2 linked regions of the Canis lupus familiaris genome follow. The protein of the gene in region 1 binds, or shares a complex with, the protein of each later gene. Links are inferred from orthologs where the notes say so. Each region holds a gene or a part of one and is shown in the gene's direction. Other genes may lie near its edges. The genes, in order: KCNQ1 and KCNE3.

Evidence for each region.
Region 2: the proteins of KCNQ1 (region 1) and KCNE3 are in contact, whole or in part, in a cryo-EM structure (PDB 6V01), measured with the Homo sapiens proteins. The link is inferred for Canis lupus familiaris from reciprocal best matches to the Homo sapiens genes KCNQ1 and KCNE3. Residues at the interface, in NP_000209.2 of Homo sapiens: Arg116, Pro117, Thr118, Gly119, Trp120, Cys122, Phe123, His126, Phe127, Phe130, Leu134, Leu137, Ile138, Val141, Leu142, Ile145, Gln147, Tyr148, Arg181, Met238, Val241, Asp242, Gln244, Thr247, Lys362, Asn365, Ile368; in NP_005463.1 of Homo sapiens: Asp54, Asp55, Asn56, Ser57, Tyr58, Ile61, Met65, Phe68, Ala69, Val72, Gly73, Leu75, Ile76, Leu77, Tyr79, Thr80, Arg81, Ser82, Arg83, Val85, Lys87, Asp90.

The regions. Positions count from the first base shown.
Region 1 is NC_049239.1:47,055,748-47,059,552, forward strand, and holds part of KCNQ1 (potassium voltage-gated channel subfamily KQT member 1), read left to right. Parts: coding exon 1-28; intron 29-828; coding exon 829-924; intron 925-3,087; coding exon 3,088-3,210; intron 3,211-3,805. UniProt on the Homo sapiens protein: Pore-forming subunit of the voltage-gated potassium (Kv) channel involved in the regulation of cardiomyocyte excitability and important in normal development and functions of myocardium, inner ear, stomach and colon.
Region 2 is NC_049242.1:23,974,166-23,978,429, forward strand, and holds the start of KCNE3 (potassium voltage-gated channel subfamily E member 3), read left to right. Parts: upstream 1-1,321; 5' UTR 1,322-1,500; intron 1,501-2,632; 5' UTR 2,633-2,928; intron 2,929-2,973; exon of another isoform or gene 2,974-3,129; intron 3,130-4,264. UniProt on the Homo sapiens protein: Ancillary protein that functions as a regulatory subunit of the voltage-gated potassium (Kv) channel complex composed of pore-forming and potassium-conducting alpha subunits and of regulatory beta subunits.

The DNA.
Region 1 (3,805 bases):
TGCCATCTCCTTCTTTGCGCTCCCAGCGGTAGGTGCTCCGTGCTGGGTGCCCCCAGGGAGGCCCACTCAGGCCCAGCTCACCTTCCACCACCCCCAGGGGCCCTTTGCAGCAGGTGTGGGCAGCAGCCGGGGTGTTGGTGGGGGGGTCTTTGGTAGCAGACAGCGGGGTGCAGGCCGGCATATTCAGCCCCAGGGGCCACGGGGAGACACCAGTAGCAGCTGCCGCATGAAGGCAGAGGCAGAGGCTGTGTGCCTGGTGAGGCCTGGCCAGGCCAGGCCAGGTCCTCCCCAGAAATCACCGTGAGGGTTATACCTCCCCATTCCCAGTGTGTGCACATAGGTGTGTGTGTGTTACATGTGTCCTCATGGACACACGTGGGCATATGTATGATGTGTTACTATGTGCACGAGTCACATACACACACCACGTATTGTGTGTTGCATGTGGACACATGTCCGTGTTCTGTGTGTATATGTGTCACCTACATATAAACTCATGCAGTACGTGTGCACCTCTCGTGTGTGCTGTGTGTATAGTATGTGCATTTGGGTTGTGTGTCTACAGTGTTTGCCCACGTGCTGTACAGTATGTGTGTGTGCATGTATGATTGATCCCCTAGGTGGATGGGGAGCTCCCTCCCTGACGAGTGGGTCCTGTCCATCCCATTGTCCATCCAGGGATGCAGCTGCACACCCTCCCACAGGGCTACCTTCTGCCCACCCTGTCTCCCCGACACCCGCACTGTCTCCCTAGTTCCCGTGTCCCACAGGCCGGCCAGGCAGTGGCTGCCTGCGTGGACGTGAACCCTGGCCTCTGCTCCTCCCCAGGGGATTCTCGGCTCTGGCTTCGCCCTAAAGGTCCAGCAGAAGCAGAGACAGAAGCACTTCAATAGGCAGATCCCGGCGGCAGCCTCGCTCATTCAGGTGACGGCACCTGCCATTGTGATGGCCAGTCTCGCGTCTGCGGGTGAACACAAGCTAGTGTCCGTTCTGGGGATCCAGAACTGGGAACTGCTCTTGGCCGTGAAGCTCAGTGCGGATCCTTCTGGAACATAGATGAGCTGATTTGGCAACACAGACGTACACACCCGTCGTGCCTTCTCCTGGGACATGCAGGTGGTCTGACAGGGTGGGCACTGGAGCGCGGGGCGCCCATATCCCTTCCTCGAGGGTTCTGTGGGAAGTCACATCTGAGCAGGCCAGGGGGCCAGGATGTGCCCTGGCCAGTCCCGGGGTGGGGTGGTCTTTCTGTGGGCCCCTCACCTCTCAACCACAGTGGCCAGCCTTGGCGTCTTGTTCCTCGTTCTCCTCCTGTGGCCACCCCTCTGCTCTGCACTGGAGCAGGTCTGGGAGGCAAAGGGGAAGGGTCCCTGTGTGGCCATGTCCCAGGGTGGCTAGGGCTCTGCTTATGCAGCATGGGCACTTCTGAGTGTCCCTGGCACTGCACGGGGCTCAGGACTCCCCGGTGGCAGCAGGTGAGGACTGGTGAGCCGATAGCATGGCTGCCGTCTGGATTCACGGGCCCCTTGGTGCCTGATGGGGACCCTAGGGAGGCTGTGACAAGCCTGGGGGGCTGGTGGCAGCAAAGCCTAAGAGCAATGGGGAAGGGGGGGGTCCTGAGTTCCTGGATGTTCCGCTCTGCTCTCTGACCCAAGCTCCTGGACACACCAGAGGCTCGCTGAGCCTTTTAATGCACACAAAGACTCAGGCGGATAACCATTTGCAAACTGGGTCCCAGAGGGTCCTGGGGCTCAGCATCATCCACCCGCGGATATGGGACCCTCTGCCCAGCAGGGCAGCTGTATCCAGCACTGGATGCTCCCCTGGGTCACCCCTGTGGCCTGGTCTCCTGCGCCCTCTGCCCCAGGCAGGGCCCCATGAGGGGTGGCCACCATCAAGCGCTGCTCCACCTGGGAGCCTCAGCTCAACCAGGGGCTCCCCTCATCCCTCTGAAGCCCTTCCGGAACCCACTGTCTGGGGCCTGGACGGTGTACCTGGACGGGAAGGAAATAGGGGCCATAAAGCCGAGGGGCTGGGCCCCCTCAGGCCTGGTTTTACAGCCCCACAGCCTTCTCCTTTCGGGGAGACCATAAATCAGGCCGTAAAACCAGCCCAGGCCGCTGTGGGCAGACTGTTGTGGGAGGGGAGCGTGGCGGGTTCCTCGCTGAGCCTTGGGCCTTAGGGGCAAGCACCCCTGCAAAAGACCAGGTCTGAGTGGAATGTTCATGGGAGTGCAGACGTGCCCGCCACAGGAGGACCAGGGCCCCAGGGTGTGGGACGTGTAGTGGCCAGGCCATACGTTTGTGGGCAGGACACATGCCCACTGCTGGGGAAGGTGGGAAGTGGACGTGGTGAGTCAGCCTCGGAGGGGCCAGGCCTGTGGCCTGTCCCATGGACGGCATGAAGGTGGCCAGGCCTGCCCAGGTCCCCATCGTGGGTGATGTCACGGCTCCCCGGGAGCCCTGCCAGCCCCGTGGCCAGCCACACCACTAGGATGCGTCCTCATCTGAGGCTCCTGGCACCCCACCGGTCCCCCACTGCCCACTCAGACATGGCGTGTCCTCCCCTCGGATCCCCTGCTGTGGCATCACTTCCTCCCTGCGTGGTGGCCACAGGGGCATCTCTCTAGAGCATAGGCCCAAGGCCTTCTGCACCCGCATGACATCAAGAGGCTCCCCACGGCTACGGACGGTGTCCGGTGCTGGGAGCCCACATTTGGGCCTCTGGGAGGGGCCTTGTTTCCCAGGCCCTCCTGCCTGGTGCCCACAGCCCGGGGCGCCCTTGGTTTCTGTGGCCATCCCTGCACTCGCCGTGCAAGCCCCAAGGAGAGGCAGCCATGGGTGTCTGTGCATCTGTGGGAGGGACAGGTTGGGGAGATGCTGGCAGGTGCATCGGTGCTCACAGGTGAGGGCCTCTGTGATGTCTGAGCTGTGAGTACCAGCCAGCACGTGAGGCTGCCTGGTGCAGGATCAGCCATAGGAGATGGGGGGCTGGCATGCAGGATGGGGTGTGGGCAGGATGGGGGAGCTGCAGCTCCCACGGGAGGCCCAGCGGGTAGCTGACTGCCTCTCTCTTGTGCTGGTTCAGACGGCGTGGAGGTGCTACGCGGCCGAGAACCCCGACTCTTCCACCTGGAAGATCTACGTCCGGAAGCCCGCCCGGAGCCATGCCCTGCTCTCTCCCAGCCCCAAGCCCAAGAAGTCTGTCATGGTAACGGCCCCCATCTGCACCTGCAGGTGGATGGGATCCCCATTAGTGATTAGTGGGTGGGGAGGCTTCGGGGGCCACGGCTCCTGGGCAGGGTTTGACCTAGGGTTTCATCTGAGCCCACATTGGGGCATCACCACTACAGGCCCTGGGGCGGGGGTGCATCTGTGCCAGGCCTTGCAGCCCCAGTGTCCCCATGGCTCGAGGCCCCTAGGAGCAGCCCCAGGAGCAGGATGAGCTGGGCTCTGGCCAGTGGTGGGAGAGAAGGCTCTGGAGAGGGCCCTGGTGTCAGGCTGGGCACAGTGGGTGTCTGTCAGGTCAGAGGTGGCATCCCAGCTCGGGGAAGAGGGTCTTGAGGTTGGTGTGCAGGGGATTCGGACAGGCTTCGGGTGGCATGCTGAATGAGGGTGGTGCCCACTCCCGCTTGGGGGTGCCCAGCTCTCCCGGGTGCCAGCTGCCCCCAAAGCCCCTGCACTCTCTGTTCCCTCCCAGACCCCTCCACCTCCTCCCAGTCACCTCCTCAGAGGGGTCTTCACCAGCCCCTGCTGCCCCCCCCCCACATGCCGTCGCTCTGCGGCCCTTGTCAGCACGTGCCCTG
Region 2 (4,264 bases), on another chromosome or scaffold:
GACCCCTTCAGTCAGTCCATCCCACCCCACACCCTGGCCCAACCTGTCCTAAGGTCCGGGCCTTGTCTCCAACTTTTTTGTATTAGACTGTTCCTGAAGATAGTTCTCAGACTATGGTCTCCCTATGACAGGAATCCTGTTCCATCTTTTCTCATCTAATAATAATAAGAGCTGTCATTTATGAAGGACATGCATTATGCTGGGCCCAACCTAGGCCTATTACACACATTGGGTCATCTAAGCCTTGTAGCAAACCCGCAAATCACAGATAAAGAAAATGAGGCAGCTCAGTCCACTTTCTAAGAACCCCTTAGCCAGTTAGCTTCCCTAACAGAGTTCTTGCTCCATCCTCACTCCAGAGAAAGGGAAGTGGAAGACAGGTCTTAAGTCTCTGAAGAACCAAAAAACGGGAACAAAAAAATTAGGCACATACTTTATATCTCCAGTGGGCACAAGGACCAAAGGGTAGAAGTAACAAGGAGGCAATTTTTGTTAAAACATGAAAACATCCTAACAATCAGAACCTTGGCTGCCATCAAAGGATGAATGGATAAGAAGATGTGGTCTATATATACAATGGAATTTTACTCAGCCATTAGAAAAGACAAATACCCACCATTTGCTTCAACATGGATGGAACTGGAGGCTATTATGCTGAGTGAAGTAAGTCAATTGGAGGACAAACATTATATGATCTCATTAATTTGGGGAATATAAAAAATAATGAAAGGGATTATAGGGGAAAGGAGAGAAAATGAGTGGGAAATCTCAGTGAGAGTGACAACATGAGAAACTCCTAACTCTGGGAAATGAACAAGGAGTGGTGGAAGGGGAGGCGGGCAGGGGGATGGGGTGACTGGGTGACAGGCACTGAGGGGGGCACTTGACGGTATGAGCACTGGGTGTTAAGCTATATGTTGGCAAATCGAACTCCAATAAAAACATATACAAGAAGAAGAAGAAGAAGAAGAAGAAGAAGAAGAAGAAGAAGAAGAAGAAGAAGAAGAAGAAGAAAGAAGAAGAAGAAGAGGAAGAAGAAGAAGAGGAAGAAGAAGAAGAAGAAGAAGAAGAAGAACAACAACAACAACAACAACAACAACAACAACAACAACAACCTTGGCTGCCTTGGAAGCAATAACTCCTTGTCACTCAAGGTATACAGGAGAAGCTGGACAGTCTCATGTTAAAAATCAAATATAGGGGATTTTTAGGTAAGGGATTTGATCAGATAATTTTAAGAGTCCTTCCAACTTAGATTCTATCACTAAAAGACTCTAGAACTCTAAGACGGTGTGATTCTAAGACTATGATTCTAAATCTCTATCTTCAAAGAACTCACAATCTAGTAGATGAAGTGGGCAAATAGTTACTTTTGATAACTATAGTAAATAGTCCTATACGGTAAATTCAAGGCTCTGGGTAGAATGGAAGAAGGAGCCATACCTTAGCCTGGGCTGGTTCCTCAGGGCTGATCTTAAGAACCACTGGCATCAGAATCAGGTGGGAAACTTTTTTATTTTTTTTAAGATTTTATCTATTTATTCATGAGAGACACAGAGAGAGAGAGAGAGGCAGAGACACAGGCAGAGGGAGAAGCAGGCTCCATGTAGGGAGCCCAACGTGGGACCCCATCCCAGGTCTCCAGGATCATATCCTGGGCCAAAGGCGGCGCTAAACCGCTGAGCCACCCGGGCTGCCAGGGAAACTTTTTTTTAAATGTTAAATTTCTGAGCTTCATTCCAGGTCTCTTGGATCAGAACCTCTGGAGAGGGACCCAAAAGTCTACTTTACCAGAATGAGCTCTGAGGTGATTCTTAGGCAGACTGAAATTTGATACTTCATGCCCAGGGTCAGGATGACTTCTTCCTTGAGAGGTGATTGAGCAAAAGGTGTAAGTGGGTCAAAATATGTAACCACAGAAATAACAGGGAAGTAACGTGCTTTGATAAAGAATAGCAATTTTGTATGGCATTCTGTCCATGCAGTGGGTCTTTTTAAAATGATAGCACTTCTTACATATAATCTGAGATTCTATGATAAGGGTACGTGCTTCAGATATTCTGGAACACATCTTTGTTTGCAAGGGAATGAGAGCTGGCCTCAGTTTATTAATAATTATGCCAAAGTAGGAGGTTGTTAAAAAGGGCTCTGATAAGGACTCCCACAGAGTCCCTCAGGGGCTTTCCCTGCCACTTGTCCACTCCTCTGCCTATAGAACCGCCCTGACTTCCCAGCTTTCCCTGGCTGTTTGTCTTTCTAGAGCCTGTAGTGTCACCAGCAAGAAAGCAATAGTGTGAGGGAGGGCCTGGTGGCCAGAAAGTGCAGAGTGTTCTGGGGCCAGGACCAGTGAGGTATGCTGGACAACAGTTTTCAGGGCATGTGAAGAGTGTTGAGACTTAGAAGGAGGAGACATTAGCTGGGGTGAAGAAGAGAAAAGTGGCATAGTGAATTCTGAGTCTGAACCCCGCCACTGTGCTGTTGGGAGCCTGGGCAAGTTCTTCCCCAAACTGGGCCCCTGCATTCTGTCTGGAAAAGATGGCTTGTGTTAGAATCAGGTGATTTCTCCAGTGACCATCGGCTTTAATGTTTGCATTCTACGATCTCAACTAACCCAAACCAACGCCGTGCGAAGCACGAATTTTACCCATTTTACAGCGAAGAAGCTATGGCCCAGTGAGGAGCAGTGATTTGCCAACCACCACACAGCCACTTAGGAGCAAAGCCTAATTCCACCAACACCCAACGCTCAGCCTTGCGTTTAGATCAGCCTGAGGCTGGGCGAGCTGAAGCCAAGTGAGAGGCACTCGGTCTCCGGTCCAGGAAGCAGGCGCTGCAGGGGACGGAAGGGTCGGAGCCCACAGCCGGCCGGCCGGCCGTGTGGGGCCAAGTAGCTCTGGGCGGAGGCGCCCGAAACCAGCCTGGGGAGAAGTGGGTGTGCTGGGGGCCGGGCGGGGCCGGGGGAGGAGGCGCCCTGGGAAAGGTTAAAGGGAGCAGAGGGCAGGTCGGGACGCAGACTGTGCAGACAGGCAGACCCAGCGCGGAGGGTTGCTGTGCGGGGGGCACCCAGGGGCACAGAGTGCGGGGTACTATCTAGAGACCGGCGCCCCTCGGAGTCTTGCCAAGAGGCAGGTAAGGCGCACTGGCAGGGTCGGGAAGGCTGCGCTGCAGCGGGGGATGGAAGTTAGGGGTCTACCCGACTCCGTTGAGAACCCCGACCGGAGGTGGGGGACGGCTCACAGAACTGAGGTGCAGGGATCCCAGGGCCCCGCGTGGGAGTGCAGAGCTGGGAGCCTGGCAGTTCCAGCCTGAAAGCCACGGGGGTTTGCACCGGCACTCAGAGGCTTCAGGAGGGAGGCTTGAAAGCTCTTTCCACGTCCACAGGTATGCATGCGAACACCCGCGGGGCCGCAGCGAATGCACGCGCAGAAATGGCCTTCGGACCCTGCGCGGTCTTCTTGTTTGGCGGGAGCTGCTTGCTCTGCGGAGCCGGAGCCGACTTGCCCATTCGCTATTGCATTGTGCCCCGCGCCTGGGGACTCCCAAAGACGCCTTCTCCTGCTAGTAACAGAGGTGTAGGCTAGGAGTCAGGAGACCGGGTTCTATTTTACAGATTGTGTAAACCCGTGCAAGTCTCCTACTGTACGCCTTGTACTTTCTTTGCCTGGGTCACTACCTATAAAATGAGCCTCTTAGTCCAGTTGCCTGTACACTCCATGTGACATGAGAGGAACAAGGTCTGGACTTGGGATTCTTTTATTTAGAAAGCAGATGAGTTCAGACAGACCCTTGTGTGAGGGTCCGTGAAGAGCATCTCCTCCTATCCCTCCTCCCCACTCTTCACCAATTTGTGTGTGGGGAAACTGAGGCCCGGGGGGGGGGCATAGCTTGCCCAGGGACATACCAGGAGAAGCAGAGCCCAAGTCTCCTCACTTCGAGTCCAGGGGTATCTCCATTTTACCTACAAAGATGCGTGGTAAATGTGTAAGCTCTTCATTATCTCCTGAGATCCATCCTCTTTGCTGGTTCCAAATGGAGGAGACCCCTGCTTGAGGCATGGGAACTGCTTTCAGATTTTCTTGACTCCTTATGATAGCCAACAACCTTCTTCATCCCTCACTAAGTCCACACATCTCAAAACACATTTCTATCCATAAACTAAATGCATGGATGTTCCAAATACCTACTAGGAGGTAAGACAAAACTCCCATCTTACTGATGGGGAATATGAAGCCTAGAGTGGAAACATGACTTAACCAAGACACAT